4 linked regions of the Lonchura striata genome follow. The protein of the gene in region 3 purifies or fractionates together with the protein of the main gene of each other region. This does not show direct contact. Links are inferred from orthologs where the notes say so. Each region holds a gene or a part of one and is shown on either strand. Other genes may lie near its edges.

Region 1 (6,834 bases), on a different chromosome or scaffold from region 3:
AAAACTTGAAATTTGAGACATGAAAGTAAATGTTGAACCAACAAAGTTTGTGTAGAATAGTTGTAGAAAGGCTGTTTCTACTTTTTGCTGTTCTCATTACAGGCCCTAAGCTTAGTATAAAAGTCTCGTGTCTTGCAGCCACACTAAGTTTAGGGCAATCAAGCCTTTGTATTAGGAAGCAGTAGCCCTTGTATAATTTTCAAGGATGTTTGTGTTGTCTAAACTTAGGTGAGCACAAGAAAAACTAGAATTTCAATGCACATTTCTGTCAATGAATGATCACAGTCTACAACTGTGTTGTGAGGGCACAACAATTTGCTTTATGCAAAGACAATTTGCTTTATGTAGTTGTGAGCCCCACTCTGCCCTTGTGCATGTATAAATGGTGTCTCTAGATATATGCTTATATATCAGATTATTTATACCTAGATAATAATCCTCCTAAACCTCAAATCAGCAGATGCAATTCTTTATCCTCTTATTTGTTTACCCTATGGAGACAACTTAAACAGAGTTTTTAGGTGACACAGTACCAATGTGAGTTTTCAGTAATCAGTTTTCAGTAATTCTGAAAGCTGTGGCATTATGTTGACCTGCTGTTTAAGTGTATTTAGGAAATTAATTGGCTTTTCTCCATGGAAAGATAAGCAAAACTGGGATAAAACAAATTGAAATCTGTAAACTATGGTAACGTTAAACTTTCTGGCATGTTGAGTTTTAAGAAGTATTTCAAACATTTATAATTCTGAATCAAATGTGTAATAGTCTGCATATTATTATTGCTACAAAATTAGTAGTGTTGTAGAATTGTCCAGTGGATTTTATTTCCAAGCAGAATAATCTTACAAGACAGTTCTTGCTTTGTATGTGGTCTAATTATGGTAGGAAAAGCAAATTTTGCCCATTTAAAGTGCACATTTAGTCTGAATAAAAAGAAACTTAAGGATATCACCTGTAAGCAGTAATTTTTAGTAAGTTGGTTTTTAGATAGCTGCCTATGAATTGATAATATACTTCCTAATCAGCAGTATTTACGAGCAAATGGGTGTTTTAGTAGATCTTGGAGAAAGTAAGACTCCTGGTGTACAGATGGGACCATGTGACAATATAACTGCATAATATCCACCTTAGACATAGGTTTTTCTAAATGTTTGTTTTTCTCAGCCTGGCTGGCAGGCAGTGTGTAGTGTGATTGGCTGGAATGTAAAGCTGCCTAAAGCTTAGTGGCAAAATTGCTGTCTCAGTCCAGGCTGCTGGAGATCTTCACTGGCCACAAAACCCTCTGTGACAAATTCTCCAGGATGACTTCTCTAGACTAAGAAGTTGCTTCCCTGTAGCTCTACACATTATGTATTCTGTTCCCGACTCTCATCTGTCTGGGAAACAGTATCGGTCTCTGTGCTAAAGGATGAATCCCACCTGACTGACAGCTGGTGTGACTCATCAGGAGCACTGGAGTTTTAATGGCTTAGGGAGTAGCTGTGTAACTTGTGATCTTCAGCCTTGTTCCCCTGTCCTTTTGGGTATGATAGGATGTCCAGTATAAACTGCACTCAATTAAAGCCTTTTTCAGGTCAGGTGCAATGGTAACATGTTGCTTATCGGCAGAAATGAATGTACCATTAAATTTGATGGCTCAGTGTCACCAGGCTCTGGTAGGCTCTGTGTTCTAGGGCCTCTGCGACTCACAGGTTTCAGCCCTCAATAGTGTGATTAACACCACAGCTATGAAGATCTGGATTCCATATCGAGTTTTGACTCATGTTAATATTCTGCTCAGTAATGTTAGGAAACTTCTATTTCTATTCCAAGGGGAATCTAAGTGAAATAGTAGATAGTAAGGTTCCATTGTGGGTTAACATCTTGTACTTTGTACCAGACAATAGAAAGGTTCAATTCCAGTTCATGTTTCTCTGTAGGTATGAAATACAGTAGTGCGGGACAAAGCAGAAGATCCCCAGCACATTTTAAAACCATTCTTCATATGGATTTTTAGTAATTTTCTATATTAGCCCATTGAAGGATAGTATAATATCTTTCCTATGTGTTCCAAAAGTCTCTTGGAACAACAAATGTTGAGGAATTCAACTTACATTCTAATTCATCTTGATTTCAGAGGTGTAATGTATGTCCATTGCATATTGATTAAAGTAGTGTCTGTGGTGGCTCATTAATAGTATCAATTGTTTTGACTGTTCATAAGGTTTCATGTTTTATGTTAGTGTCAGTACATTGCATACAAACTTAAATTTCTGAATTATCATATTGAATTATGCCACTGTCTGTGCTAGAGAGTTGGAATTTGTTTACATTAATTTGGATGAAGGTGTATTTGGATTGTAGAGGTATTTCTTCGCCTTCACAAACAGCCCACATTGCAATCAGATGGATGTGTGTTCCAGGTGCTCATTAGTGCATTGTGGACTTCAGCCCCTCTGTCCATTAGGACCTGATCCAGGAAGTCCCTGATATCAGTGGCAGTCTTTCCACTGATTTTTGAGATTATGGATTATACCATTTGGGGCTTTTAATGTTAGACTGCTAAAGGATCCTGTATTAATACTGCATTTTTTGCTCTATGGGGTTTTATATTTTACCTGTTTGTATACTGAGCTGAAATAGTTTTAGAAAATGCAACCAGACCTTCCAACTGCTGTCAGCAAATCCCTGTACAAGAGGAAGTTTCTCCTGTTTTGCATTATGACATCAGTACACGTGTTGTCCAAATTACTAGGTCTCCTGGATAGAGCATAAACTTTGTAGCACTAAACTAAAAGGGTGAGAACTAGAACGAGCGGAGGGTTGAGGTCATGTTTCCAGGACTGCGGTGCTTCTGTGCAGCCATCTGTTTTAAATTGTGGATGTTACCTCTGCTGCTTCAATTTGATAATCTCAAATTACACAGTGACTATAACATGACCCTTTGATGAAACTGCAAATAATAATATATAAGTACAAAGGACATGATATTTTTACAGTGTCAGAAGGACTTAGCTAATTATTCTGATTCTTCAACACACAAAGTATTTTGAGAATCAATTTTTCAGGCTACAGTCTGCCCCATTCATTATGGACACTTTTTCCCAAGTTGGAGTTTATGGCTTGTGCAGTCTGACAACCAACATGCCTTGCTCCCGTGCTTACACAGCGGCACAGTTTTAAAACAGGGTCAACTCTGGAGAGGCACTACTGGGGAAAAGGATGAGTGTACCACTTTGGTATATAACCTTTCATATGCTTGCTTTATCTTTCTGCATACAGTATTTTCTTGTTTCTCTTCCCATGGAAGGAGATGATAGAGGAGGAAAAATTCCACTCACTTTTCTGTTAGGAGCCTAAGTTTTCCGCGTTTTGACAGAAATCGCCAAGAAATCATCGTTTCCTCAAGCAGAGACGTTACTTTCTCCAAAATAATGAACTTTTTTTTTTTTCTCCGCGCCTTCCTCTGTACTCGGTGTTTTTCAAGCATTCCAGCAGTAAAATGTAAAAAACCCCTCCCCTTAAGCTGTAATTGTACAGACTGTATACCTCGCCCTCCTTCGCGTTATGTACGGCTGTAGACTTTGTATCTAAACTTGGCTGCGGTGTGTGTGGTGTGTCATCGCGCGGGCCGGCCCGGCGGCGGCCCCGCCCTGCTGCGGGCGGGCCGGGCGCGGTGCCGCCCCGCCATGGCGGCGCTGCGGGGCTCGGCGCGCCGGGGCTGCCCGCGCTGCCCGCAGCCCGCGGCCCTGGCGGCGGCCGCGGCCCTGGCCGTCTGCGCCTTCTACTACCTGGGCGGCGGCGGCGAGACCTTCTCCAGCGCCACCCGCCGCCTGCGCGCCACGCCGCCCGCCCCGGCGGGCCCGGGGCCCCGCGGGCTGCACCTCCTGTTGATGTTCACCAAGGCGGAGCGCAGCCCCGCGCTCCGCGACAAGGCGCAGGCGGCGCTGCGCTCGCTGCTGCGGCACGGCCGCCTGGGCGCCGCCGACGTGCTGCACCTCCACCTCGTCACCGAGGGCGCCAGCCGCGACATCGGGCTCGGGCTGCTGCGGGACCTGCTGCGCGGCGCCGCCTTCCGCCACCAGGTGCGCGGGGGCCGAGGGGCGGGCCGGGCCCGCGGGGAGCGAGCGGGGTCTGCCCGCGTGTCCCGGGTGCTCTTCCCGCTGGGAACCGCAGGCCGGCGGGAAGGAGTCCCTCAACCAGCGGCCCTGTGCGGCTCCCAGCAGAGCAGCTCGCTCCCGCTCTCTGCTGGAGCAGCGCCCCCTGCTCCGGTCCCGGGAGTCTTGCGGGGCTCGTTCAGTGTCCCCGCCGCTGCTGCCTCAGGGGAGCTGGCCTGGTGCAGCCCGGCGGTTCTCAGCTGGGACTGGGCAGCAGCGTGGCCTGGGAGCACCACTGGCACACCACCTGTGCTGGAGAGGAGCAGTTGCTCTAAGCAGTGCTGCCCTCTTGCAGGCCCTGTTGGTGCCGCTTCAGCATCTCGACACAAGGACCACGTGTGCTTGTATCTCGATGGGTTCCCGAGCAGGAGAGAAGGTTGGCCTGCTGCTGGTGGCTCTTGAGAGCAGGAATGGAGAGCCTGCAGGGGCTCTAGTGCATCTACGTCCAAATGTTTCTACTTCCAGGGAAATGGTTCTGCCTCCCAAATCCACAGCTAGTGTAGTTTATGGGAGGTTTGGCTTCCCTTCTCATTAAACAGGTGTCTGAAAACTGGAGGGGTGTTAAGTTCAGAGATTCCAGGTAACTTGACTCTCCTGTCCTGAAGCTGCTGCTGCAGAGCATTGTTTGGAAGTTTCCTCTAGTCCTGATGTAACTTTTATTGCTCATAAATCCTGTATTTCATATTAGCTGAACTCTGCCAAGATGAAACTAGAAGTGTAACCCTAACATTTTTCATACAGACACTTTCCTGGTAAATTCTACCACTGGTTTTCTTTAAACAAGTCCTTTCCTAGTAGTGGCCCTCAGGTTATGCACCCATGTTGGGAGACCCATGCAGCAGTGCTTGGCTATCTGGAGGGTGTGCACAGTTCCCACAGGAGGATTCTTGCACTCCACAGCAGGATGGACTGAGTGCCCCATGATGGTGCTGTGCTGATGTGGTGCAACAGCCTAACCCAGGCTGGTGGTATTATGTCTCCTGGAGTGGGAGGACCCCCATGCCACTATGGTGTGCACATCCCTTGCAGTCACCCCTTTGTGTAGGCAACTGCCTTACTGCCATCTGCCCCTCTGGGAAACAAGCTTCTCAGCAGGCAGCCTTGCCAGCCTCCTTTCTCCAGAGTAACATGGCTGGGAGTTGGAGGCATGAAGTGATTTGTCTGTTGTGGATTGGCCCCTGTCTGTAGGTGCCTGTGGAGTCACAGTGAAACCTGGCTCATGGCTTGGTGAGTATGTCTGGTACCAGAACTGGTCTCCTGGGTGTAAGCAGGGCAGCATGATCTGGAGGCCTCAGGTGAGATCTCACTGAGATCTGCTCAGTGGGACAGCTGCTTCTCTTTCCTGGCAGAGCCTGATGTACCCTGGTTTCAATGGCCAGCCTGTGGTTGCCAGTGTGTTTTGGACCGGACCATTTCTCTGCTTTTAGGTACAGTGCAGAGGCTGTTCTGCTTCTCAAGCATGCAGCCTTGTCCTAATCCTGTGCCAGTTACTGCAACACCAGCAGGTGACAGCACCTCTTTATTCTTGTTGTAGCACCCCATTCCTCTTCTCTATCAGCAGGAAACTTATGCCTAGCTTGGATTTCTGGTGTCCCTGCTAAAATGTTGAAGATGATTGATCCTGATGCTCGGCTAGCTCCAGCAGTAACCCATCTGTATCCTGAAACCTCTCGTTTCCTGCTCCTCATGGTGCGTGCAGAACTCTCTGCTGCTTGTTATGCTGTTTTCCTAGCACAGGCCCAGATATAAGGCTTGATAAAGGGCTCAGTGGGCAGCTGGAACCACTAAGGCCAGACTGATAAAACTCCCTGAACTTTACCTTTTCTTCATGAGGAAGTGATTCAGGCCCAGCTTTTGGAGCTGCCTATGCCCTCCCATCCTAGCAAAGCTGGGATCAGTTAGCTTCTCTATTGGAGTGAAGCCCAGAGTCAGATATGGATCATAACCACTGGGGGAGGTTATGGGCAGCTTTTCTCTCTCCCTAGGCAGATTCAGGGCTTTCAGAGTGTCCTGGAGACTGCGGCAGCCGGCTGCAGCCCGGGGCAGTGTGCAGTGAGGGCAGAGGGGCTGTGGGGTGCAGGCGGTGGGTGTGTGGCAGCAGCTTAGGCACTGGAGCCACCCAGCAGGGCAGGGCTGGCCGGGCGTGGGCAGTCACCGCCCGCGCTGGCCGTGCAGATGTGCCCAGATGTGCAGCCGGGAACGCAGCTGGCAGCAGAGGGAGCTCCTGCTCCGCCTCTGCGGCCGGGAGGCGGCGGCAGGACCCAGCCCGCGGCTTTCCTGCCCGTGCGGGGCCTCGGTGGGCTTTACCGGGGCTTTGTGACAGCACACGGCTGGCAGGAGGATCTCTGTAGCCTCTCCCGACCCCCGGCCAGCGGGAGGTGTCCGGCAGCGAGCCTGGGCCAGCCTCGGCTGACGCTGCTTACACAGAGCAGCAGCTTGCCCCGTTTCCTGCCACTCCAGGCTGTGTGCTGCAACTCCTTGCACGATTCCTATCTCTTATTGATTCCATTTCCTTACCATAATAACACGGACTGCATGTTCGGCTCTCTGCTCATCCTGGTTTCCTGTTCAGATGAGCCCCACGAAGGACACTGCTGGGTGGATGTAACTGGGCTGCCATCACGCCACGCTTACAAAGACCTGCGAGGATGATTGACATGGGAAGGAGGGAGAGTTAAAGGGAAAAGAAATGCAGGTT
Region 2 (7,516 bases), on a different chromosome or scaffold from region 3:
CTAAACCAGGGTCTAAACCAGTACCCTATTCAACTACTTTTGCACTGAAAGGCACTCATGACTGGAGGGCTGTAACTTACAGATTTTTTCCTGCCCTCAAAACCAGAATTTTAAAGAGCTTAATAAAAAAGAAATTAAAGATATTAAAGTAATTGCACACTTTCAGATTTTTTTTCATGAGCTATAACATTAATGGATCTGCTGGGCTTTTCTAATCATAATTCAGAATGAAGCTGTTCTGGCAGACAGTAAGAAGTGCCCTTCCACAGATTTCTTCTTACAAGCTGTGGTTCCAACTCAGAAATAAAACTATATTCCCATTCCCTTCCAAAAAGCATTTTATTTCTTTTATAAACACCTTGTGAGTTCTGGTCTCATTTCCCCATTTCCAGCACTAATCTTAAAAGAGCATAATTAGATACATAGATAAGGCACAGTTATTTGTGGTTTGGTCTTTTTTTCTAAAAACAATATGCTCCTGAAAATATTTTCTTCCCAATGTGTCCTTTGAGAATGACTTTTATTATTTTTTTTCAAGTCTTGTACTCTTGAAACCCCTGCCTATTTTCTACATTATTTTTTGCAGAAGCAAAATTACTATGGACTTTTTCCATACTTTTATTCTGAATGGCTAATCCTTCAGAGGGCAGATGAACTAACAAAAAGCCAAGGACATTATCAGTTCCAGCACTTTTCCAAAGCCTGACTTTCATCCCACCTCTGTGATCCTATTTCCGCATTATTTAAGGAGAAAATACTGCAAGTCATGAAGCTTGCTTCATAATGACAGGCTGCTTCAGAGACAAGAAAAATATTGTGCAATTTGTTTTCTGCAGTGAAAAAAACTGACCTCATATTTCTCATACCCACCCTCCTGGGAGTTGAGTTTTATCTCTTTTAAAAGTTCAGGTAATTCTGATGGATTCTTTTTATAAAGAGGTCCACAGAACACTTCTGGCAAGCATGAAGTAGCAGATTGTGATGCAGGGGTTGAAATTCTTGTGCCAAATATGCTTGTGGGTTTTCTTGGTAAGAGACCACAGCTACTTATTATTTAACCATGCCCTCAGATGATATTTCTCACTGATTTGGGAAGACCCATATCCTGGGGTTGGAACATAAAAGCAAAGAATTTACATTCAAGGGTAATTTGGTGCAACTTCTACCACAATATAGCAGCTGTACCAACAGGTTTGGGGGTTCCTTTCTCTCCTTTATTCCTTCCTTCCTTAAGCCTGAGAAAAACGCTAAAACTAAGTCATGGGATCAAGAAGGAAAAGAACTATTCAAGATCAACTAATCTTAATCACACTGAAGTTCTCACATGTTTTCTCCAGCAACAGACAAGCTAAAGAATGTCTATTTGGGCTATACAGTCATGCACTTCAACAACCACCACCATTCCTCCTCCCATGTTCAGCTGCTGATGGTTTAGGACACTGATGCTGTAGCAATGCTCAGTGCAGGTCTCCTGATATTTCTGATAAGGACTCACTGGTAGAGTCTCCCACAAAAGCCTCAGGGTTTAATTGAGGCTCGTAGCTAACACCTCTCTGCAAAACGCACCTACCTCCACTGACAGCTACTGGGAATATTTCCAAACTGCTGTCTTTGGTGCTCCTTGGGGACCCTCTATCTAGCTAATAAAGGGAAGCCAGAAGTTTCCTTCAAACACACTAAAGCAAGATAGGAACTTGCAGCTAGTGCATGCTGGAAAAGAAGAAACTGTCCTACAAGGCCTAGCGTTACAGCCTCCATGGAAAAGAAACAGGGAGAAAAAAAGGTATTTCTACTGTATGACCTTAAACTGAGAAATACTGACTCAGTGTTGAAACAACCTTTCTTTTCTGCAGTTCTTCTGAGTTACCGGAAAGAAGACAATAAAGTTAGTCCTTATCCATCATCTACAAGTTTAGCAGAAGAGATCAGTGTCTCAAATTCCACCTGACAGAGGGACTTGAAGAGAAAAAAGCACAAACAAACAACAAAACCACATAATAAACACTGATTACACTTCACTGAAAACATGGACTATCAAGTTTAAATTTCTACATACTTCGGTTTAAAAAGGTCTTGAAAATTGCAACATCCCCCGTTTCTGCTTTAGCATTTCTGACTTAATTGACTAGTGACAATTACACAATTTATTTTTATGCTCAATACCAAACTCTCACAGTTTGCGAGAGCACAGAATTTACCGAGCAAGAACGCATCTGACAAAAACGGAGATGTAACGAGTAGTTTAAACAATGCTCACCATTCCACCGAGGATAATTAAGCACCCTCATCATCACTTCGCCTGTTTGGGGGTTGGTGTGAGGAGTGGGGGTTTCTCGCGGCCCCAACAAGCCCAAAGGCCCCCGCAGCCAGCCCGGCCGGGCGCTGCCCCGCGCCGCTCCAGCGCCGTGCGGGGGGGCCGCCCGCTGCATCCCGCTGCCTGCGGCTGCACCAACGCGCTCCCAGCACGCCCACGGCCGCCAACACAATGGAAACGCAGCCGAGAGGGACAGGTTCGGTTTATTGTTGAGACTGCGCTACGGTACAACCGAGCGGCCCGCTGTGCCGGGCCGCCTCGTCAGGGCGGCCGGGACAAGCCGAGGCGGTGCCGGCTGCGCGGACCCACGGCCGCTCGGTCCGGCCGCAGCCCGCTCCGGGCGGGACACGGGGCCGGGACACGGGGCCGGGACACGGGGCCGGGACACGGGGCCGGGACACGGGGCCGGGACACGGGGCCGGGACACGGGGCCGGGACACGGGGCCGGGACACGGGGCCGGGACACGGGGCCGCTGCCCGCGGCCGGGAGGGCTCGGGGGCGCTGCGCGGCACCTCGTACCGGCGGGGGCCGGGAGCGGCGGGCAGTGGGGGGCGCGGGGCCGGGAGGAGCGGGGCAGCGGGAGGGCGAGGGGCCCGGCGCCGCCGTACTCACCGCGCGGGCCGGCGCGGAGCCGCCTGCACTTCCTGCGTGCTCGGAAATGAGCGGGCGGGACCCTCCGCCGCGCCGCTTAAAGGGGACGGGCCGGCCGCCCCCGACCGCCCCCGGGGCGGGACCGGGTCCCCCGCGCAGTCCCGCGGGGGAAGCGGAGCCGCCGCCGCCGCTCGGCAGCAGGGAGGGGCCGCGGGACCGCGCTGCGGCTCCTCGCTCCCCTGCGGCGGGGGCGCGGCGCGGAGCGCTCGTCCGAGGGCGAGACTGCGAGCTGCCACCGCGCTCCGCGGCCGCCGGCCGAGCCCGCAGCGCCGCGGCCACACCGAGCGCGCCCGGCCGCTCCCGGCGGCTCCCGGCCGCTCCCGGCGGCTCCCGGCGGCTCCCGGCGGCTCCCGGCGGCTCCCGGCCGCTCCCGGCGGCTCCCGGCCGCTCCCGGCCGCTCCCGGCCGCTCCCGGCCGCTCCCGGCCGCTCCCGGCGGCTCCCGGCCGCTCCCGGCCGCGCTGCCCGCCCGGACAGTGACCCTGAACGGCCGCGGCGCTGCCCGGCACCGCTGCTCTGCCAGCCCCGCAGCCCCGCGGCTCGCAGAGGTCCAGCGGCACCACAGGGATGCTGGTATCTCAAGTGTTAGCAAAACCCTGAAATTGTCATATAGCCTTTATGGTGGAAACAAGAAGCAGAATTTACCAGTAATTATCTTCTACTTATCCAAGTGTTTATGTACAGTTCTGTATTTCCAGAAGAACATTTCATTACACTATATTATTTTTCTAATTATTAGTTTTCTGCAGGGCTTGACCTGAAAAGAAGCCAAGCTTGGGAACTCATGCAGCTTCCAGCCACGCACATGAATGGTGGCTTGTAGCAGTTTAAAAGGGTGAAGCTTGGGAAGCAGGTGAGGTAGTATTGGCCTTCCACGTTTTTGATCCAAACGTTTTTGATTCCGCTCATCAAAAACAAGAGAAAGCCAGTAAAGGCTTATTAGGTACAGACCTGCACCCCCTAACTTGACATCACTCTGCTGGATTGCCTGGGACTGCTCACCTGCCTCAAAGGCAGGCCCTGAGGGCTTTCCAGCACAGAGCCCCAATGGTCTGAGCAGCAGAAGCTGCATCCTTTGTCACGTTACTGCTCTTTTGAGATCTGTACCCCATTTAGCACAGAGCAGCCCTTTGTCTTCAGGCAGGCAGAAACCCATTTGTTCATAAATAGCTACACTACACAGCATGGGAGGGGGGCTGGGTGTCCAAGGGCCAGCCAGATCTGTTCAGTCTAGATTTCAAGCCCTCAGACAGCAAAGGTCTTTCCAGGGAATACCTTTAATAAACAGGCAAAAGACACTTGGCTGGTGTTGCCATCCATCAATCCAGATACTTTCCTATCCATTAAAACTTGTCACAATGCTAGATCATCATTTTAGGTATCCCTCAAAAACATACTTAAAAAGTATATTCATAGAAGAGAATTATCAGAAGGTTTTAAATATTCACATATGCACTGCTCAAACTAGGTAAATGTGGCTTTATTACTCTTAAAACAGTATGTAAATATACTATTTTAAACCTGACCTCATGCAAAATTTCAGTATTGCATGTTACAATGACGGTTGAACATCCCACTTGTCATCTTTGTTGTGGATAATGAGCAGGAGTTTAGTAGACACCGACACACTGGAGGCTGTAGTGTTCTGTAGACATAATATTTGTGAATACAAGAAGATAACGGAATGGAGATAACTGAAATGACTGATTTTGTTAACTAACCCTTCATTCTGACAATGCTGCAACACCCACTGGTTGGCCTAGAGAGCAGCCAGACTCTGAATATTGTTCTTCAGGTTTCCCAGGTACCACCTTGCTGCACATGAGCTTCTTGCTGCTATGTGGAGAGAGCTATACAGGGCCTTCCAGGGGATTATACACAGAATATTTTTTTTTTCTTCTCTAAGTGCTCTCTGCTTACCAGAATTTCTTCTCTCCCACAAAGCTTGTTCTTTTCCAGACTGAGAGAAGGAAAAAATAGATTTCTTAACCTCTTGTAGGAGCAACATGGGTATTCATAGTCATCTCTGTATGAAAGGTCTACCATGTCAGGAAAAATGATGGGTTTGCACTGATGTTGCATATAGTTTCCTGATTCTTCTATCAGAACATGCTGTTCTAAGATTAGATATTCCTTCATAACTCAGACCTGTATTTATGCAGATAGATGTTATAATTCCTATTTGGTGTTAATCTTACAGGCGTACAGAGGAATTCCCACATTGTGTGTGAATAAAGCGGGCAGTAAAACATTTAGGAAATATCTGTGTTTTAAGATACAATTCATTTCAGCATGAGGATTTTCTTAGACAGGTAGTTGCAGACCTAGCATCTGAGAGCAATAGTATATATATTTATATATTTATAATTTATGTGTCTCAGCTTTGAATTTTCCTAAAATATTATTATAGGATGGTTATTTAGGAGACAGACTTTAAAAATGTTTCCCTAAACTTTGCTAAACACTGTTCCTAAATTGGTACAGTTGGAGAAAAGGAAGTGGCTGGCTGGCAATAGCTTATTCAAAAAAGAAGCGTTTTCCAGAACAGCATTAGCTCCAGCCTCTAGTGGTTTTGGTTTTCTTTCTCATGCTTTTTTTTTTTTTTTTTTTTTTTTTTAATAAAGCATATGTGTGGCCTGGAGGGGAAGAAACAAAAGAAAAAGAGAAAGAAGAGCTAATCTGAGAACAAGATACCAAAGTGAAGGAGTAATGTAAATGAGGCCAAAGGAGAAAAGAAAAAAGGCAATCTTTCAACAAAGGATATTTTTGTTCTATTAACCTCTTGAGCCGAGGTGAAACATGCATGTAGAATAAGAAAAATGGTCCATTATTTTGCCTGAAAATTCTGAGCTTTAATTGTCAAACAATAGTCATTAGTTTGCCTTGACACAAGGCTTTTTGTCAAATACCACAGCTCAGCTTTACTGATGGCACAATTCCAACATGATCCCATGTGAAACCGCTTTCTTTTTCCTTAAGTGTTGCAAATTATTTATAACAGATACTGAACAATGCATGCAAAATCATGAAGAAATTTTAATAGCCCTAAATCAACCCTCCTACAATATTTTATTCATTGGGATTTATATCCCTCAAAATCCTCAAAGTTGCACTCTGTAACCCTTTGTCACTGCTGCTGTCCAAACGAATCCTGTTGCTCCGGGCAGTGAATCGGGGTCTTGGGAGAGGCCGTGGCTTCAGCAGAATAACTCACGCCTGCCTGGGGCAATGCCAGGCTCCCCCTCAGGCTCTGCTGGCAGTGCTGCAGTGCCAGCACCAGCTGGGGCACTGAGAGCCCAGTCCAGAGCTTGCTCTGGAGCTCTGAAAGGACACAGACTTATTGTCATCGTGGGGCATCAATGACACAAGTTACAGGTGCTTGGAATGCCAGGGTATTTTATCTCGCTGCTTTCAGAAACTGGAATAATGCCTTGATTTGCCACAGCTTTAGGAGAGACAGCGCTTCTGTACCAACATACCACACAAAAATCTTCCTGTATGTATTGTTACCATGCCCTTTATTTTGCACTGAGCAATATTTCCTTTTTGTCAATGCCTGGTTTTGGCCTCTATGTCTTTGAGTGCTGAAGGACTACATTTTTTCATGTAGTGTTTTGGGATTAAATAAATAGTAAATCTTTGGTATTATGATGTACTGATTTTTGGATTCAGAAGCATATAATTTATATAATGTTTGGTAAATGAACTGCTATGTGTTGTTCATTTCCTGTTGTTTTGGGATCACATTTGCTAAATTACTTCCTTTCAAAAATTCTCATTAGAAAACAGTATCAACTGACTTAAAATTTATATAGAGTCCTTTCATACATTAAAGCAGACTAATTCATGAAAGACATTCCTTATCATAAAAACAAAATCAATACGATCACAGCTGTAAGTGAATGTAAATAAGATTTAGTTTTATCTACTATCTGAAAATGCTTTCTTCTGATAACAGAAGTGCTTACTGCAGTCCACTTGCTTTTTTCTTTGAATAGTGATAGCTTAGCATCTGGAAAAGTGTATGGAAGGATAAATCAGAATTTTTTTGATACAATCTCTTCAAATTACTTTTTCTCTTTGAAACCAACATATAGTTGCTGTTAGCAACAAATGTTTGCCAAGCTTTGTGACAGCAGCAAATGGATTGTGGAAACATTCCTGTACCACCAGTACAGTGTCACTCTGGCTGGTGCCATGGGGGAAAAGGAATACAGAAGAGGACAAGCAGGGAGCTGCATTAAATGCCTGGGCTCTGCTGCTGCTCCAGCTGAGAGCAGCAGGCAATATTCTGCAGTGGTGGCCGAGCATTTTTCCTGGCCACATGGCCTTATTTTTCCTGGCAGGAACAATGGGTTGTGTGCCCACAGTTCCACTGCTCACTTACAGCTGCACCACGGTATCACAGCAGTAACAACATATATGGAAAGCAATCCATGTAGGTAGTGCTGGAATTCTATACTGGTTTATTTCTGACTATTCCAAAACATCTTTGCTATATAGCTTCTGTCTAATAGCACCAAGAAATGCTGTAGGCATTTTTCTAAAAAGA
Region 3 (7,051 bases):
ATGATTAACCTCCTGCTTTTCTTCAAAAGTTTTTTTTTGGCTACTTCCAGTGGTAAAGAAAAGCAACAGGCACTGGCCCCTGGCCCGACAAACTGAAACAAGGAGCTCTTACTGCTCCTTGAGGTTATTGAGTTCAGAGCTTTGTAAACATTAACACGTTAATAAGACGTGCAGCTTCTGCTGTTCTGCCCTTGTGGCTGCAATTCTGCAATTGCGGAGTGCGCACAAGTGCTCTCCTCTCTGAAGAGGGAGTGGGCTCCTACCGAGGCTGAGTTCCAAGCCCCAGCTCGTTGCCTCATCCAGTATGCTTCTGCCCTGAAGCTCCAGCTACATTTTCCACACTGCCTCTAAGAGTTATGGAACATGGGACCTGTAACTTTCCAGAGACGTAAATGAATTAGAGGGAAATATCTCGGGTTACAGAGTTCAGACCTCAAGGTCCACAATGAGAGCAAGGAAAGAGGAACGCTCTACTTTGTACCAAGTACTTGGAATAGTGGAGATCTGAAAGGTCAGTACAGCTGTCTATACAAGTGGGTAACATGAAACATAGTTCCAGAAAGCTCTTGAACTTTTTTTAAAGGCAAATGGTTAAAACATGCCCATTTGAAATACGCTCATTAAAATGTAACAATAAACTGATTATTTTGCATAAAGTGCATCCATAGAAATTCTTGTGCAGGACTAGCCACTAAGGCTATGCCTACTTTTCACTTCCGCCTCAGGAAATCAGGACTACCCCACTCTGTGATTTCCAGTGAAGGCACAGGATCACCTTTGCCATTATCTCTACATCTTACATCTTCTCCCAAGCCTCCAATCACCTTTACCTCCAACTTTTCCATAGGCAAACTATGAGTAGCTCCATCCATTACATAATCATGACAGGGCAATGAAGGAAATAGAAACTTATCTCAAAGTTTCACTGTGACCAAAATTACGTCCTATTACCACCTAAATACCCACAACAAATTATTTGCTCTTGCCAGAAGTGCATCCATGAGACATTCTAGACAAGTCAGCTCACAACAATATCCATTTTAATTCATGCTATACCTTTTTTCTCTAACTAGTCCAAAACTTGGCTAAAAGCACAACTTTTCACCATTAAATTAAATAATTCCCAAGCCAATGAGACTAAGGGTTAAGGTAATTTTACATTGTTTGAACCTAATTATTAGGATACATTTGCTGGAACTAAACCAACATTAAGAGCTTATTACATCGTCAAGAAGATGGTGTAGTGTATTTAGATGAACTTTCCTATCCTCTTGAAAAACCTGTCTTTCCAAAACCAACACAGAGTTGGAGAAACAGAAACTAAGTTTCTCAAATGTGTATTCGAACCTCTGAGCACAGAAAACCTGTTACTGTAGCAAAGTTCACTCTGACCAATTAAAGCTCCCTTTAAGCTAAAACAATGGTCTGCTGATGTCACCCTGAAACTGAAGAAGTTGGTTCCAAAGCCTGAAGTCCATTCCTTCTGGTGACAAGGATGCCCTAGGAACAGAGAAGCGGCAATCACACACACCTTTCACTCCGCTAGCACACAATACTTAGCTTTGACCAAGCAGCTTCAAAATCAACTATCCAGGCTTCTGGATCCACTAAAAACCAAAAAATTCCTACCTATGAAACAGTTTAACCACAATTGGGAAGATTTTTAAACGTACGCCTGTGCGCAGGTCAGTGGGAAGGTACATACTTTAGAAAGCTAAACAAAAATTATTCCCAAGACACCACACATGTGCCCTGACACCAGCATGCTCTACATTCCAGCTTCCACAGTTCTGACTGGCAATTTCCAAGACTTCTTCCTATTAATACCGATACTATGAAGAGACACAACATTATTGCAGTGGAATACGCTTCCGTGTGTTTGGTTTAGATGGAGAGTAGCTTCCCAGGTAACTGATAACTGACCCAATGGAGCAATCCAGCTGCCAGGACCAAGGCACTGAGCCGCACAGCCAGTTCGGATGGCATTAGGAGAGCGTCTTGTGACAGCTCGTGTGGCCAGGCAAGAAACGCTTGTCATGTGCCTTTCCTTGCAGAACCAAATTTTTCCCCAGGGCAAACTGCTTTATCCTGAGACTCTCTTACACTCTGACCTGTCTACAAGACAAACATGCAGCTTAGGGCATCCGAAGGAAAGGCGTGAGGAAGAGGTGCGACAGCCATGTGCCACAAGAGCTGCTAAGAAAGTTTCTCGCCTCTTTTCCAGGAGTGGGGACAGAATGGTCCTCACAGAGTCCTGACAGAGCCCGCACCAGGTGGGACCAGGACGGCCACGGCCCCACTCGGGGAAACGACCCCTCCCGCTTTTCTACGCGTGGATGGAGCAGCGGCGCTTCCCCGCGGGGCTTACCCAGCTTCTCCTGGCTGACTCCGTTGGAGCTGCTGCAGTTCTCCACCAAGGTGCTGGTCTCGTCGCGGTTCAGCGCAGCCTCCCCGTCCCCGGGAGGCTGCTCGGGCTTGGGGCCGCCGCGGGGGTGCTGCTGCCGGCCGCCGTGCGAGTGCCCGTGGCCGTGGGCGTGCCCGTGGCCCCCGACGCCGTGGTGGTTGAAGAGGCAGAGCCCCAGCAGGTTGATGATAAGCCCCGCCACCCCCACGGCGATGACCACCAGCGGCTGCTGGATCTCGTGGGGCTCCGTGAAGCGCTCGATGGCCTCCAGCAGGATGGTGAAGCAGAGGGCGGTGAGGAACACGGCGTTGACGAGGGCGCCCATCACCTCGGCCCGCACCCACCCGAACGTGTTCTTCTTGGTGGCGCGGGTGCGCTGGGCGAAGCGCACGGCCACCAGCGCCACGACCAAGGCCATCACGTCGGAGAGCATGTGGAAGGAGTCGGAGAGCATGGCCAGCGACGACGTGACGCGGCTCACCGCCACCTCCACCACGAAGAACAAGAAGGTGAGCGCCAGCATGCACAGCAGCCGCGCCCGCCGGTTCTGCCAGCACCGCGGCCCGCCCGGACCGTGAGCCGCCATCCCCCCGCACATCGCGGCTGCCCCGGCGGGGGCGCGAGGAGCGCGGCGGGCGGTCGGAGCCCCGAGCGCTCGGGCGGCCGCTCCGCTCCGCTCCCCCCGCGCCGCCGCCGCCGCCGCTCCCTCCGCAGGCGCCGGGCGAGCAAACTTTGCACCCGAGCCCCCTCACTCTTTTCACACGGAACCCGAGCGCCGCCTCGGACACGCCCCCGCCCGCGCCCCATTGGCCGGCGCGCCCCGCCCGCCCGGCCGTGCCCTCCCGCCCCCGCGCCCGGCCCCGCTCCCCATTGGCCAGCGCGCCCTCGCGACAGCGGCGCCCCGCCCCCGCCCGTTAACGCCCAGCGGGCCGCGGCCTCCCCGTTCCGCCCGCCCGCGCCTGGAACGGGGAGTGGGCGGGGCCAGGCGTGACGCGCCGGGGAACGGCGGATCCCCATTGGCTCACCGGCCGGCTTTCCCCTCCCGCCCCGCCCCCGCAGGCCCCGCCCGCGGCGAGCGGGACTCGTGCAAAAGGTGCGCTTCACACGGCCCCGGCCCGGCGCGCGCCCGGGGGCGGGGCCCGGCGTGAGGGGCGCTGTGACGTCACGCGCCCGGAGCGGGGATCTCGGGTGGGATCTGCGGTCTTCGGCGACTTTTTGCGGGGGCGGGCGTCTCTGTTTGATTTTCTCTGTTTAATCTTTCTCTTTAATTTTTCCTCCGTCTAATTAAAAGATTAATTTTTAATCTTTTCCTGTTTCTGCCACTGAGGGCAGGAAGATAAGTGCGAACGCGACCACTAATAACTGATGGGAGGCTAAAAAAATTGGAAGAGTTTTTACAAGAAGTTCTGCTTGAAGTTTTAGAAGGCTGTATAATATAAGAACATATTCATAAAATAAATCTATAATAATTTCTATAATGTTAAATACGAATTAATAAATTTTATAATAATTTTTCTATAACAATATAGGGAAAAATATGTTAATGCCAAAAGGTCGGTTCCCTGGACACTGGTTTGTTACGCTTGTAGTTAGGAAAGGGAAAGCAAGTGTTTTGAGACATCCGGAAAAACCACAGACGCGTGACCACAACATATAAAAAAAAAATAAACGGCCAAAGTTCCAAAAAGGCAGAGCTGACCTCTTACTTTGCTCACTGTGTTCTAGGGAACCAACAAACACGGCAGCAAGAGACAGAGTGTGAAAGAACATTCCATGAGCAGAGCGTGGAGAGGAGACAGCAGCCGTGGAGGTGGAGCTGTGGACCCACAGAGGCTGGAGGAGAACTGGTGGCCTGAGAAGGAAGATGTAGCCAGAACGCAAAATGTTGTTCCTGTACTTGGAGATTTCAAAGGGATTGTGATTCAGGGTCCGAGCAAAGGTTCCTGACTTAATTTGGGCAGTAAAATGACAGAAGGTGCTCACGTGTCCACAAGGAAAGCTTGTCAATGAGAATAACTGAGAGCAGTGATTCAGGACAGGCTTCCCCTGTGCTTGGCAGCATCCCCAAGAGCCCACATCTGGATACCACACTCTTATCCATGTGTGGGATAAGCGGGAATGTGTGCCATTTTGCTTAATTTTCCTCACATGGCAGAGCTGGCTTGGGCACCAGAGGTACTGCTGTGATGACCTGTGACCCTAAACCATGTTACCTGTGAAAGTATCCTTGGGTCAAAATCTAGGATGCATGCAGGATTCTTTACTAGCCATTGTAAAAAGAGTCAGCAATTAGATTGCTATAACATTCTCCTCACCTGGCTTCCCGTATGCCCTGACGTCACTTACTAACAAGTAAATAACCGGGAAGCTGAAAGGCAATTGCATGCAAACAGAACATGCCCATGTTGTGTCGTCCTCACTCCCACACAAAGCCATTAGTTTAACAAGGAAGAATTGCCCAGATTTAGGATATATGGGTCAAAGAAACTGGTGCAGCTCAAACCTCTTTTAATTACTGCAGGTGAAGTGGGTTATCATTTTACAGAGATTGCTATTAATCCAATGGAATTTAGCTAGGAAGGAAGGGAGAACAACAAGTTTGGTCTCTCTCATTGGCTCAGCTCCAGGAATTAGTGAAATTGGGTTTTAGTTGGTTGCCACCAGGGTGTCATCATAGTTTTCTTGATTAAAAGTACTCAATCCCCTCCTAAGAGAAATCAGCAGAATATCAATATCAGTAGAACACTGATGGATAAATCTTCATTATAAACTTGTCAAGAGCTTTGCCTGATTTAAGGAGGGGAGTTAGGGCTTTTTGGACTCCTTTCCTGGTATGCAAATGATGTCCAGATCAATTTGTAATCCTTTTTACATCTCTTCACCATGAGACCTCCTGATCTGCCTCACACCACTGTCCAGTGTACTGCATCTTTCCCCTTACAGGATGGCATCTTGCTGATCTTTAGCCATGTCCAGGGATAGCTTTTTGTCCTGTTATACCATGCTGAGTGCTTAATTCTACTTGGGGCCAAAAGCCACAAGACATGGACAATATACCCCAGGAGAATGGGAGGGTGTGGTGTCTTCCCAGGCAGGGAAGAAAAATGGTTCCTGAGGCCTTCCACTGCTCCCTGATGAATAGGGCTGGGCATACAGTTTTGACCCAGCCACTCTTGTCTCCATGGGCTTCAAACACAGGGACTTTGATGAATGATCCCCTGTGGCTGCTGGATGTGCCAGGCATGGACTGGCAGCTGGACCACACAGGAGTTTCCGCCGCTACCTCTTCCCCACACTTTCTTGTAAACCAGTGGGCTGTACACTGTTGTTTCCAGGCTTTTCTATTGTATTACCATACACCAGCAGCCAAGAGGAACAGGGATATTTCCTAATTTAGGGCTGTCCATCTGGCAACACCATCAATTTTAAGACTGATGGGAAAGTGACTGATACAGGTACCTAATGAAACCATAAATGGTGTTTTACAGGAGACACAATGTTCCTGCCTATGCTTTTAGGCAGAATACTTTGTCTTCAGAGTAGGGAGGACTCTGGATTTTTTGTTGTTTTTTCTTTTTTTTTCAGCTTCCAGGCATTGTTCATGACTCAAAGAATTCTTTCTCAGCTCAGCTTCCGGTCCACAGATGTGGAAGGACCCATCTAAAATCTGTTTACTTACCATAAATGCTTTGTGTTCCGAAGGGAGAAGTAGCTGTGGATGTCTGGCACACAGCTCCCTCCCCTCCCAGAGCCAGGTGACAAGTCTGAACAGAAAGCTGCTGCTTGTCACCTGTCCTGCAGCCAAACGTTTTGTACCGAGTCCTGCTGGGCTCTCCTGAGCCAGCCGAGCCCTGTGTGAAGGACTTTGGCTGGGAGTTTTGCTATTACTCAGCATGTTTGCTGAGCAAATAAAGTCACTGCTTTTCCCCTTTGAATTTCTGAGCAGGGTTGCAAGTGCAGAGATCTCCACCACGTAGGGCTCTTCATCGCTGTGTGCCTTTCCACTTGGAAAAGGTGAAACCCTGCCTAGGTGCCGATGCAGTCACATATTACAGAGCACACGGCCTCCTTTTAACACCCAGCTCTTCCCCTTTCTGTGCAGTCATCAGACCTGTTGGCTTTTAATGAGGGCTTTCTGGGACTGTGGCAAACGTGTCTCCATCTGTCTGTTCCACTTCAAGGCTGTCAGCATTCATTTTAGGCTGCGTTTCTCGCAGGCAGTATCTCTCTGGTAGCTGTCCTTACAAGGTTTCTTCAAATTAGATGCAGTCGGCATCACCAAAGCCAACAGAAGCACTCACTGTCCAGATACCTGCATATAAAAAGGTTGTTCCTTGTATCAAAAAACAACACAAAAGTGAGTATGACTGTTCATGTAGCTCTAGGTTGGATTCACAGTTAGGCACTGATTCAGGAAAGCAGCTTTATCAAGGAAAAGACATAGACATGTGTTTGCAGTTAATTAAAAGGCCTTCGAACAGAGGTAAGTTAAGCATGTGCTTACATGCTTTTGTTAGTGACCTGTGAAGAAAGCCTATAGCAATAATTGGCACTGAGATAGGAAATGAAGGACACCTTGCCCTACAAAGAGATTTCTTCTTCTACCTGATCACTGTGTCTGTGAAATCTGGGCTCTTTGGAAGTCGG
Region 4 (7,049 bases), on a different chromosome or scaffold from region 3:
CACAGCAGTCAGCACAGTGGAACTTGCAGCCATCACTGGAATGGGACAGGATTCTTACTGCAGCTTCCCAGCAGCAGTGCCAGCAAGCACAGGGGAGCACACAGTGCTCCAGGGCCCTTTTGCCACATTCATGAGCAGGGGCTCCATCAAACACTGGCTCAAGGCAGCAGGGGAAGACCCCTCAGCTGAGCAGCAAACCTGCCTGCTGAGGTTTGAAAACCTCCTGTACAGTGGGTGCATTTCTGGCAGAATCAGGCTCTCAACTGTACTTTCAAACACCCTGGTGGGTGGAACAAGTGAGTGATCCTTTCCTCTGAAACACAGATTCTGAGCCTGGCACAGGGATCCCCAGAACTGCTGATTCACCACTTTAGGTCTCTTCTCACTGCAGCTCAGCACTTGTTAAATAAATCAGCGTAGGCCAGTGACTCCCAAAAGGAATCCTTAGTGGCTCCTGCAAAACCACTAAAGCAGCAGTTTGTGTACTCTGTCCATTCATTCAGAAGTCAATTCCAAGACTGTGGCAAAAGCAAATGATCCCAAGGAGTTCAGGAGCAGGTTGGGATGTGTCAGGTTCACTCACAAGGCTGCTGCCTCACTCCACTGAACAGGTTTGGAGTGGCTCAGATGATTTATTTGCCTTTTGCAATGTGTTGCCAGTTTCAATCCAGAAGAACAGCCTTGGGAAACAGAGGCTTTGTTCCATAAGCAGCATGACTACACCTGAGCTCATACACCTTGAGGTTCTGCACTGAACTCTCTCCTGCAGTTCCACTGAAAAACAACAGCCCTACAATTCTTGTCTTTAAAACTTCTAAATATTGACATAACCACTGGCAGAAAGATGATGATGACAACTAACAGAAGCTTATTTCCAAAAATTAGGTGTTGTTCACAGATCTCCACTTTCCTCTCAATAAGGTTTACTGAGTATGGTGTTATTTGGTCAAAGGTTGGACTTGATGATCTTGGAGCTCTTTTTCAACCTCAATGATTCAATGATTTTATGATCTCTCATGGTTAAACTTGCCAATAAGGTTATTGACAACTACCTATGTAACACTGGTGAATAACAGAAATTCTAAAACATTATAAAAGAAAAAACCAAAACAAAACAGCCCCCAAAAACCCCAACCTAAAAACCCCAATCTAAATTTCAAATGAAAAAATTGGTAAAAAACAGCTTAATTCCAGAACTACTTCCTCAGAATAGAAACTGCTTTTGTTTTCCTCCACACACAACATATGAAAGGCCACTGGTTATGTGACAAAGTATGTGCCAATCTCTTATGTATTTTCAGACTGTTGTGCTAAGACCATTGTTACAAAAAATTTATAAACATTGCAACTCTTGCCTAATATTAGTAAAATGATTAAAAGCTTCTTTTAGATAATTTACATAAAACTAGTTAAGTCAGTAAAACCGCAAAGTACCAGCAGTCTGAACATGCAACCCTTGCTTACCCCACAAACTCAGTAACCATAAATCTTACTAAATGTACCAAATCATCAATATCTACATTTAAAGTCTAGCTCAAATAAAATAGAGATGGAGATTATCCATTGCAGACCATCTACCTGTGAATGACACAGGCACCTCCACAACACATTTCCCTGACTTGTCTTTCTGCTACAGCTTTTAACAACACAAAAGACTTTCAGATTTTCTTTGTTCACCAGAAGGAAGTTCTTCGTGTAAACCCGAATTCTGCTTCTCTTTGTACTTATGTCCTGAATGTTCCCAACAGCAGAGCACAAGCATTAAATTCCAACAAGATTCTGGATGTCAGTGTCCACCCAGAGCACTAAGAAGGCTGCAGAAATGGATCAGCAGGAAGAATTATGGTCTTCCTTTGTACAGCAGTCCTCAAGTGTTTATACTACATCTTCGTTAGCTCGTTTCTGCATATTTAACCTAGATTAAGCTGCCAGCTTCCTTCTGCACGAAGACTTTTTATTAGCCCTTCTAACGCCTGTCAAATTTTTAGCAGCATTTCGCCAAAACATAGTACGGATCTGAACAAATCCCAAATGAAATCTATCACATAACCATTGCATTGCAAGGGCATGGCCCCTAACTTCTCCACAAGGTACCGACCCATGCGGCCACACTGCCCAAACATAGCACTAACCTTTCATCGCCGTCGGATCACATTGCAACAACTCATTCCTAGTCTGCCACCTCCTACTGCTCCGGGGCCTCTGGGGGAGTCTCAGTTTCCCACTTTTTTTTTGTTTTCCTCTAGATGCGCCGGTACTAATTACAAACATCTCTGTGATTACAAACCCACCCCCGTCACCACCAGCTGCAAACTTCCCTGGAGCGCTCTCACATCGCTCACCGGACAAACGGGGGCGTGCATTTTAAAAAACGGGGCGCACGAGCAGCAGCCGGGGCGCCGCTCTCCCGGGAGCAGCCCCGGCCCCGCCCCGCCCCGCCGCGGGTGCCGGGACCGGCGCTGCCGCCCCCGCCGGGTCCCCCGAGCCCGCAGCGCCGGGCGCGCTCCGCAGGGAGGGCCACGGCAACTTTCTCACCGCAGGACAGAGCAGTTCGCTCTCTTTGTCTGCGCCGCCCGGCCCGCTGCCCCGCAGCCCGCACCGCGTCCCCGCTGCTCCCGCCGATCCCCCCCGGCGGAGCTCCCCGGGCCGGGGGTCCCTGTGCCGGCCCCGCCGCCCAGCCCGGCACGGTGAGGAAGGGAGGGGAGGGGCGGGCAGCGCGGCCGCCGCCGGGGCTGTACCTGGTGGTTCTCCCTGGCGTCCGGGGCTGGCTGGCGGTGGCTGCCCATCATATTCACGTAGAGGGACCTGGATAAAGGGCTCCGCAGGTACCGGGCCGGGCCAGCCCACATCGTCCTCCTCAGCACCCACAGGAGCAGGGTGTAGCAGCCCAGCCAGCACAGCCACAGTCTCATGGGGAAGGGGCGCGATCAGCCCCGCGCGCCGCCGCCGCCCCCCCGCTCCATGGCAGCGGCGGCTCCGCTCGGGGCCCGCGCACACGCTCCGGGCGGAACGCGCCGCCGCGGCAGCGGGGCCCGCCCGGACGCCTTCGCTGCGACACGCCGGGGCCTGCCGCGCACACCCGCTCCCTCCCTCTCTCTCGCCGACGGCCGGGCGGGGCCGCGCCGCGTTCGAACCGGAGCGGGGCCGGGCAGGGTGGGCTGGCGGCTCGGCCGGGCCCCTCGCCCGGGCTCCTCCTTCGTCCCCGCCCCGCCCCGGGCCGGCGGGCGGGCGGGCGGGCGGCGGCCGCCTCGGCGGCGCTCGCGCACGTGCTGGGCGCCGCCCTGCCAGCCGCGCGTGCGCAGAGCGGCGCGGGCCGAGGCGCGGCCGAGCCCTCAGCGCGCGGGGCGCGCCTCAGAGCCGGGCAGGGTGGCGCTGGCAGCCAGAGCCCTCCGGGATCCTGCTTCTGCCTGGAACCCCCTCTGATCCAGCTCTGGTCACATCCAACCCTGGCAGACAAACCCCTCCGGGATCCTGCTTCTGCCTGGAACCTCCTCTGGTCCAGCTCTGGTCACATCCAACCCTGGCAGACAAACCCCTCCGGGATCCTGCTTCTGCCTGGAACCTCCTCTGGTCCAGCTCTGGTCACATCCAACCCTGGCAGACAAACCCCTCCGGGATCCTGCTTCTGCCTGGAACCTCCTCTGGTCCAGCTCTGGTCACATCCAACCCTGGCAGACAAACCCCTCCGGGATCCTGCTTCTGCCTGGAACCTCCTCTGGTCCAGCTCTGATCACATCCAACCTTGCCTACCCTGCGAAATCAGCAAAACCAGAGCAACAGCAGAACATTGCCAGAGGATTTTTGAGTGCAGTTCATTTTCTCTGATGTTCAACCCCCCTGAGGAAATTTTTTGACTTGAGAGCTTTAGACAGTGTTCCACTGCGGATTGTTTGGGTTTTTTTCTCCCTCCAATAGCTAGATGGGCTACAATGCCTTTTTGGTCTGTTTTTATTTGGCTTGGGATTAAGACTCTCCTTTCCATGCCTGTTCTTATTTGTAAAGACAGACTAGTTTATTTTTTCCACCTCCAGGAATAAAAGAACTTTTTAATCAAAATCCAAAATGACAAAAGATAAATTTACTGCTTTTTAAACAGACATCTGCTTACTGTATTATAAATTGGTAAATAAAATTAATTCAGGCTAGTTACGTGTTGTTTACAGGGAAATAGATCTTGGTTTTGTCACATAAAAAATACAGATAATTGATTGCACACCAAATAAATTAAGAAATTTGCTAGCTTTTGCCTTTGCATCATTAGCATACAACCTGGGTGTGTTTTAATGGATTTTTTCAAAATTCCTACCCAGTGTTACATTTGTCATTAACATTCTGATGCAGTAGTTGTATACTCAGCATATTTTTCTCTTGACAAGCCATAAAGAACTCACCATGTATATTTAGGTAATAATTTTGATGTAGTCATTTTCATATAAACTGTTGGAGTTGTAACCAACTTCTGGACAACCTCAGCAAATCCTCTGTGGTGTAAGCAAGCTTTGCCACTCAATTAGTGTGCTGAGAAAGGATTCCCAGAAAGAATGGAATCACTTTCTCTGTTTTCTGCTCCACTATTTGGAGAGTGTTTTCTCTTTGGATGGAAAATTGCTATAATCAATTGAATCCCTGGTGCTGAAAAGGTCCCAAGCACACTGAAGAGCTGAGCCCAGCTGTTGTTGCTGTGTGCTGACCCAAGGAGCCTGGCTTCTGGAGCAGCCTCGCTGGCAGGGCAGGCTGCACAGCCTCGTGTGGTCCATGATGTGGATCCTCCATTTTTCTAATAAAATGTGATGCCTCAGGTTTTAGCTTTTATATTTTTCAGATTCCGTACTGCTTTAGTGTGTGGGTCAAGGCTTCGTATTAGGGGATGGTGAGCTCTCTTCACAGAGTGGGTAGACAAAATATTTTCTTCTCTAGCTGGGGACCAAGGACAAATGATCCAAATCTCAGGCCCAAGAGCATAAGCAACATGGACTGGAGAGAAACGCAAGAAGGGTGGGACTTAATGAGCTAAAGCTCTAATTGGACAATGAATTCCAATCTGCAAATGGAGCAGAACTTATACAAGTGAGAGACCCCATGACTGGTCATGCATTTTGTGACCATTTTGGGTTCACCTTGGGTGTAGCCCAGGCTGGGCTCTTGTGCTGCCCAAGGTGGATCTGTTGAGGCCTCCTAATAAATCCCTACTTTATTCTTTAACTCTGTCTAGTCTCTGTTCCAGGTCAGCCTACACAAGGCATCAAATGCAGTGATAAAACAACTTTCCCTTCTATTATTGAAATGCTAGCAAGAAAGGGATTACCAGAAAGAGGTCTCTAAGGTAAACACAGATACCTAAAATCCTCTCCCCCAAAGGTAAGCCAGGGAGCCCAGCTGTGAGTCTCACCAGACCTTCAGAACAACTCCCCCCAGGCTCAGTTCTAAGTTCCTTCAGCAAACCAGCTGGAATTCTTTTGCCTGCATGTACTACTGAGCCTTTTCCCCCCACAAGCCTGCTTAATTATACAAGGAAGTGCCTAGCAGTCCTTGTGGAGATGTTGCTTATCTGAAGTGTTCCTTCCCCTTCCTGCTTGTCTTTCCTGACAGCACCCATTAGGCTGTGGAACTGTATTCAAATGTAAACATTCCTACCAGCCATGTCAACACAGTACATTCATGAATTACTGGGCAGTTCCAAAATCAGGGCAGCAGGAGACTGGGAAGGGCATTTTGTACAAGACCAGAACAGTGGTGGGCATGTAAGCTCCACAAAACATCATTTTTCCTCACTTAAAATTAAATATGCTTTGCTGTCATTTATTCAATATTTTCACTCTATCACTGACCACATATTATATTACTACTGTATTAGACTAACATTCTTTAGTGTCTATTGGGCAACATCCTTTTAAGCCTAGCAGACATTTCTGCTTATTGATTTTCAGTAAATAAAATTCATTCAGTGTATTAAGTTCCATATTCTCAGAATTTATAGAGAAACTCTAAGAAGGTAATTCAAGCATCACATTTCTCCTCCTCTGATCTTATCACAGCATTTCATATTTTATACTATACACACATTTATAGCCTCTTTATCAGTTATGAGACTGTTTTAGACACTTAAATTATCCAGATTAAATTGAGGCATTTTTCCAGCAGTGGGAGTTCAAGCTCAGATACTGTTGGCTAATAAGGAGAGAAAGCAGGGAAACCAGCTGTTGCAAGACACTGAACTCTTCCCTTTGATCATCCTTTACTTGATTCACAGCCAAAACCAATCATGTAGGTTTAGCAGAAGATAACAAAGTTTAGTGGGTGACAGAGAAATGGAGAATAAGCAATGTCAGTCACAGCACAGTGCCAACCTTCTATTCCCATAGGAAGACCACCACCCAAATTCAAAGCACTCTTCCAGTCCTCTTTGGGATTGACTATTGATGCTCTAAAAGACATTTCTCCTGCCCTTACAGCAAGGGAAATAGGACAGACAAATGGGAGAACAGTGTATAATAAATTTGGAATATTATTAATATTTTACATATCAAATAATTTGAATTGTAGTTCTCAGATTTTTTTTTCTAAACCGGTTTATTCTACAGTTAATGTCTCCTATCTTCAGGCTGTTTTGCTTAGAAATCTTTGATTATGTACTTTTCCTGTAGGAATTCTAGAGATGCAGCAGATTGTAGAGTCTACTCACCAGTGCATTGAGTCATATCACTCCTTACTCCTTATTTCAGCACATTAATGGTAACTTTATCAGACAGTTTCCATAAAAAAATAATTCTGATGATTTAATTGAATTCTTGATGTAATTTTGACTCTTAAAACCACTTATTAGATTTCCTGCTGTATAGCATGGTACTCTTCCAGTACACTATTTTCTAATAACTTAGTATTAGAAATAACTAACACAGTCACCTAACAAATCCCATTTATGGTACAATAACATTATTGTATATGTTAAAATATATATTCTATGAAGATAGGATAAACATGGGAAGTTTAGGAAATACAGAAACAATAAAGACAAAAGAGACTATTTAATGTCATTACCATTTTTTAAG

Evidence for each region.
Region 1: the proteins of SLC30A1 (region 3) and XXYLT1 purify together in Homo sapiens (co-immunoprecipitation; 3 studies listed by BioGRID and IntAct, with this or other methods). This does not show direct contact. The link is inferred for Lonchura striata from reciprocal best matches to the Homo sapiens genes SLC30A1 and XXYLT1.
Region 2: the proteins of SLC30A1 (region 3) and CSGALNACT2 purify together in Homo sapiens (co-immunoprecipitation; 3 studies listed by BioGRID and IntAct, counting the BioPlex papers as one, with this or other methods). This does not show direct contact. The link is inferred for Lonchura striata from reciprocal best matches to the Homo sapiens genes SLC30A1 and CSGALNACT2.
Region 4: the proteins of SLC30A1 (region 3) and METTL9 purify together in Homo sapiens (co-immunoprecipitation; 3 studies listed by BioGRID and IntAct, with this or other methods). This does not show direct contact. The link is inferred for Lonchura striata from reciprocal best matches to the Homo sapiens genes SLC30A1 and METTL9.

The regions. Positions count from the first base shown.
Region 1 is NC_134612.1:15,219,040-15,225,873, forward strand, and holds the start of XXYLT1 (xyloside xylosyltransferase 1), read left to right. Parts: upstream 1-3,827; 5' UTR 3,828-3,872; coding exon 3,873-4,064; intron 4,065-6,834. UniProt on the Homo sapiens protein: Alpha-1,3-xylosyltransferase, which elongates the O-linked xylose-glucose disaccharide attached to EGF-like repeats in the extracellular domain of target proteins by catalyzing the addition of the second xylose.
Region 2 is NC_134609.1:8,302,588-8,310,103, forward strand, and holds the start of CSGALNACT2 (chondroitin sulfate N-acetylgalactosaminyltransferase 2), read right to left. Parts: upstream 3,020-7,516; 5' UTR 2,928-3,019; intron 2,511-2,927; exon of another isoform or gene 2,258-2,510; intron 1-2,257. UniProt on the Homo sapiens protein: Transfers 1,4-N-acetylgalactosamine (GalNAc) from UDP-GalNAc to the non-reducing end of glucuronic acid (GlcUA). Required for addition of the first GalNAc to the core tetrasaccharide linker and for elongation of chondroitin chains.
Region 3 is NC_134605.1:12,216,213-12,223,263, reverse strand, and holds the start of SLC30A1 (proton-coupled zinc antiporter SLC30A1), read right to left. Parts: upstream 3,003-7,051; coding exon 2,369-3,002; intron 1-2,368. UniProt on the Homo sapiens protein: Zinc ion:proton antiporter that could function at the plasma membrane mediating zinc efflux from cells against its electrochemical gradient protecting them from intracellular zinc accumulation and toxicity.
Region 4 is NC_134618.1:10,761,007-10,768,055, reverse strand, and holds the start of METTL9 (protein-L-histidine N-pros-methyltransferase), read right to left. Parts: upstream 3,008-7,049; 5' UTR 2,913-3,007; coding exon 2,739-2,912; intron 1-2,738. UniProt on the Homo sapiens protein: Protein-histidine N-methyltransferase that specifically catalyzes 1-methylhistidine (pros-methylhistidine) methylation of target proteins.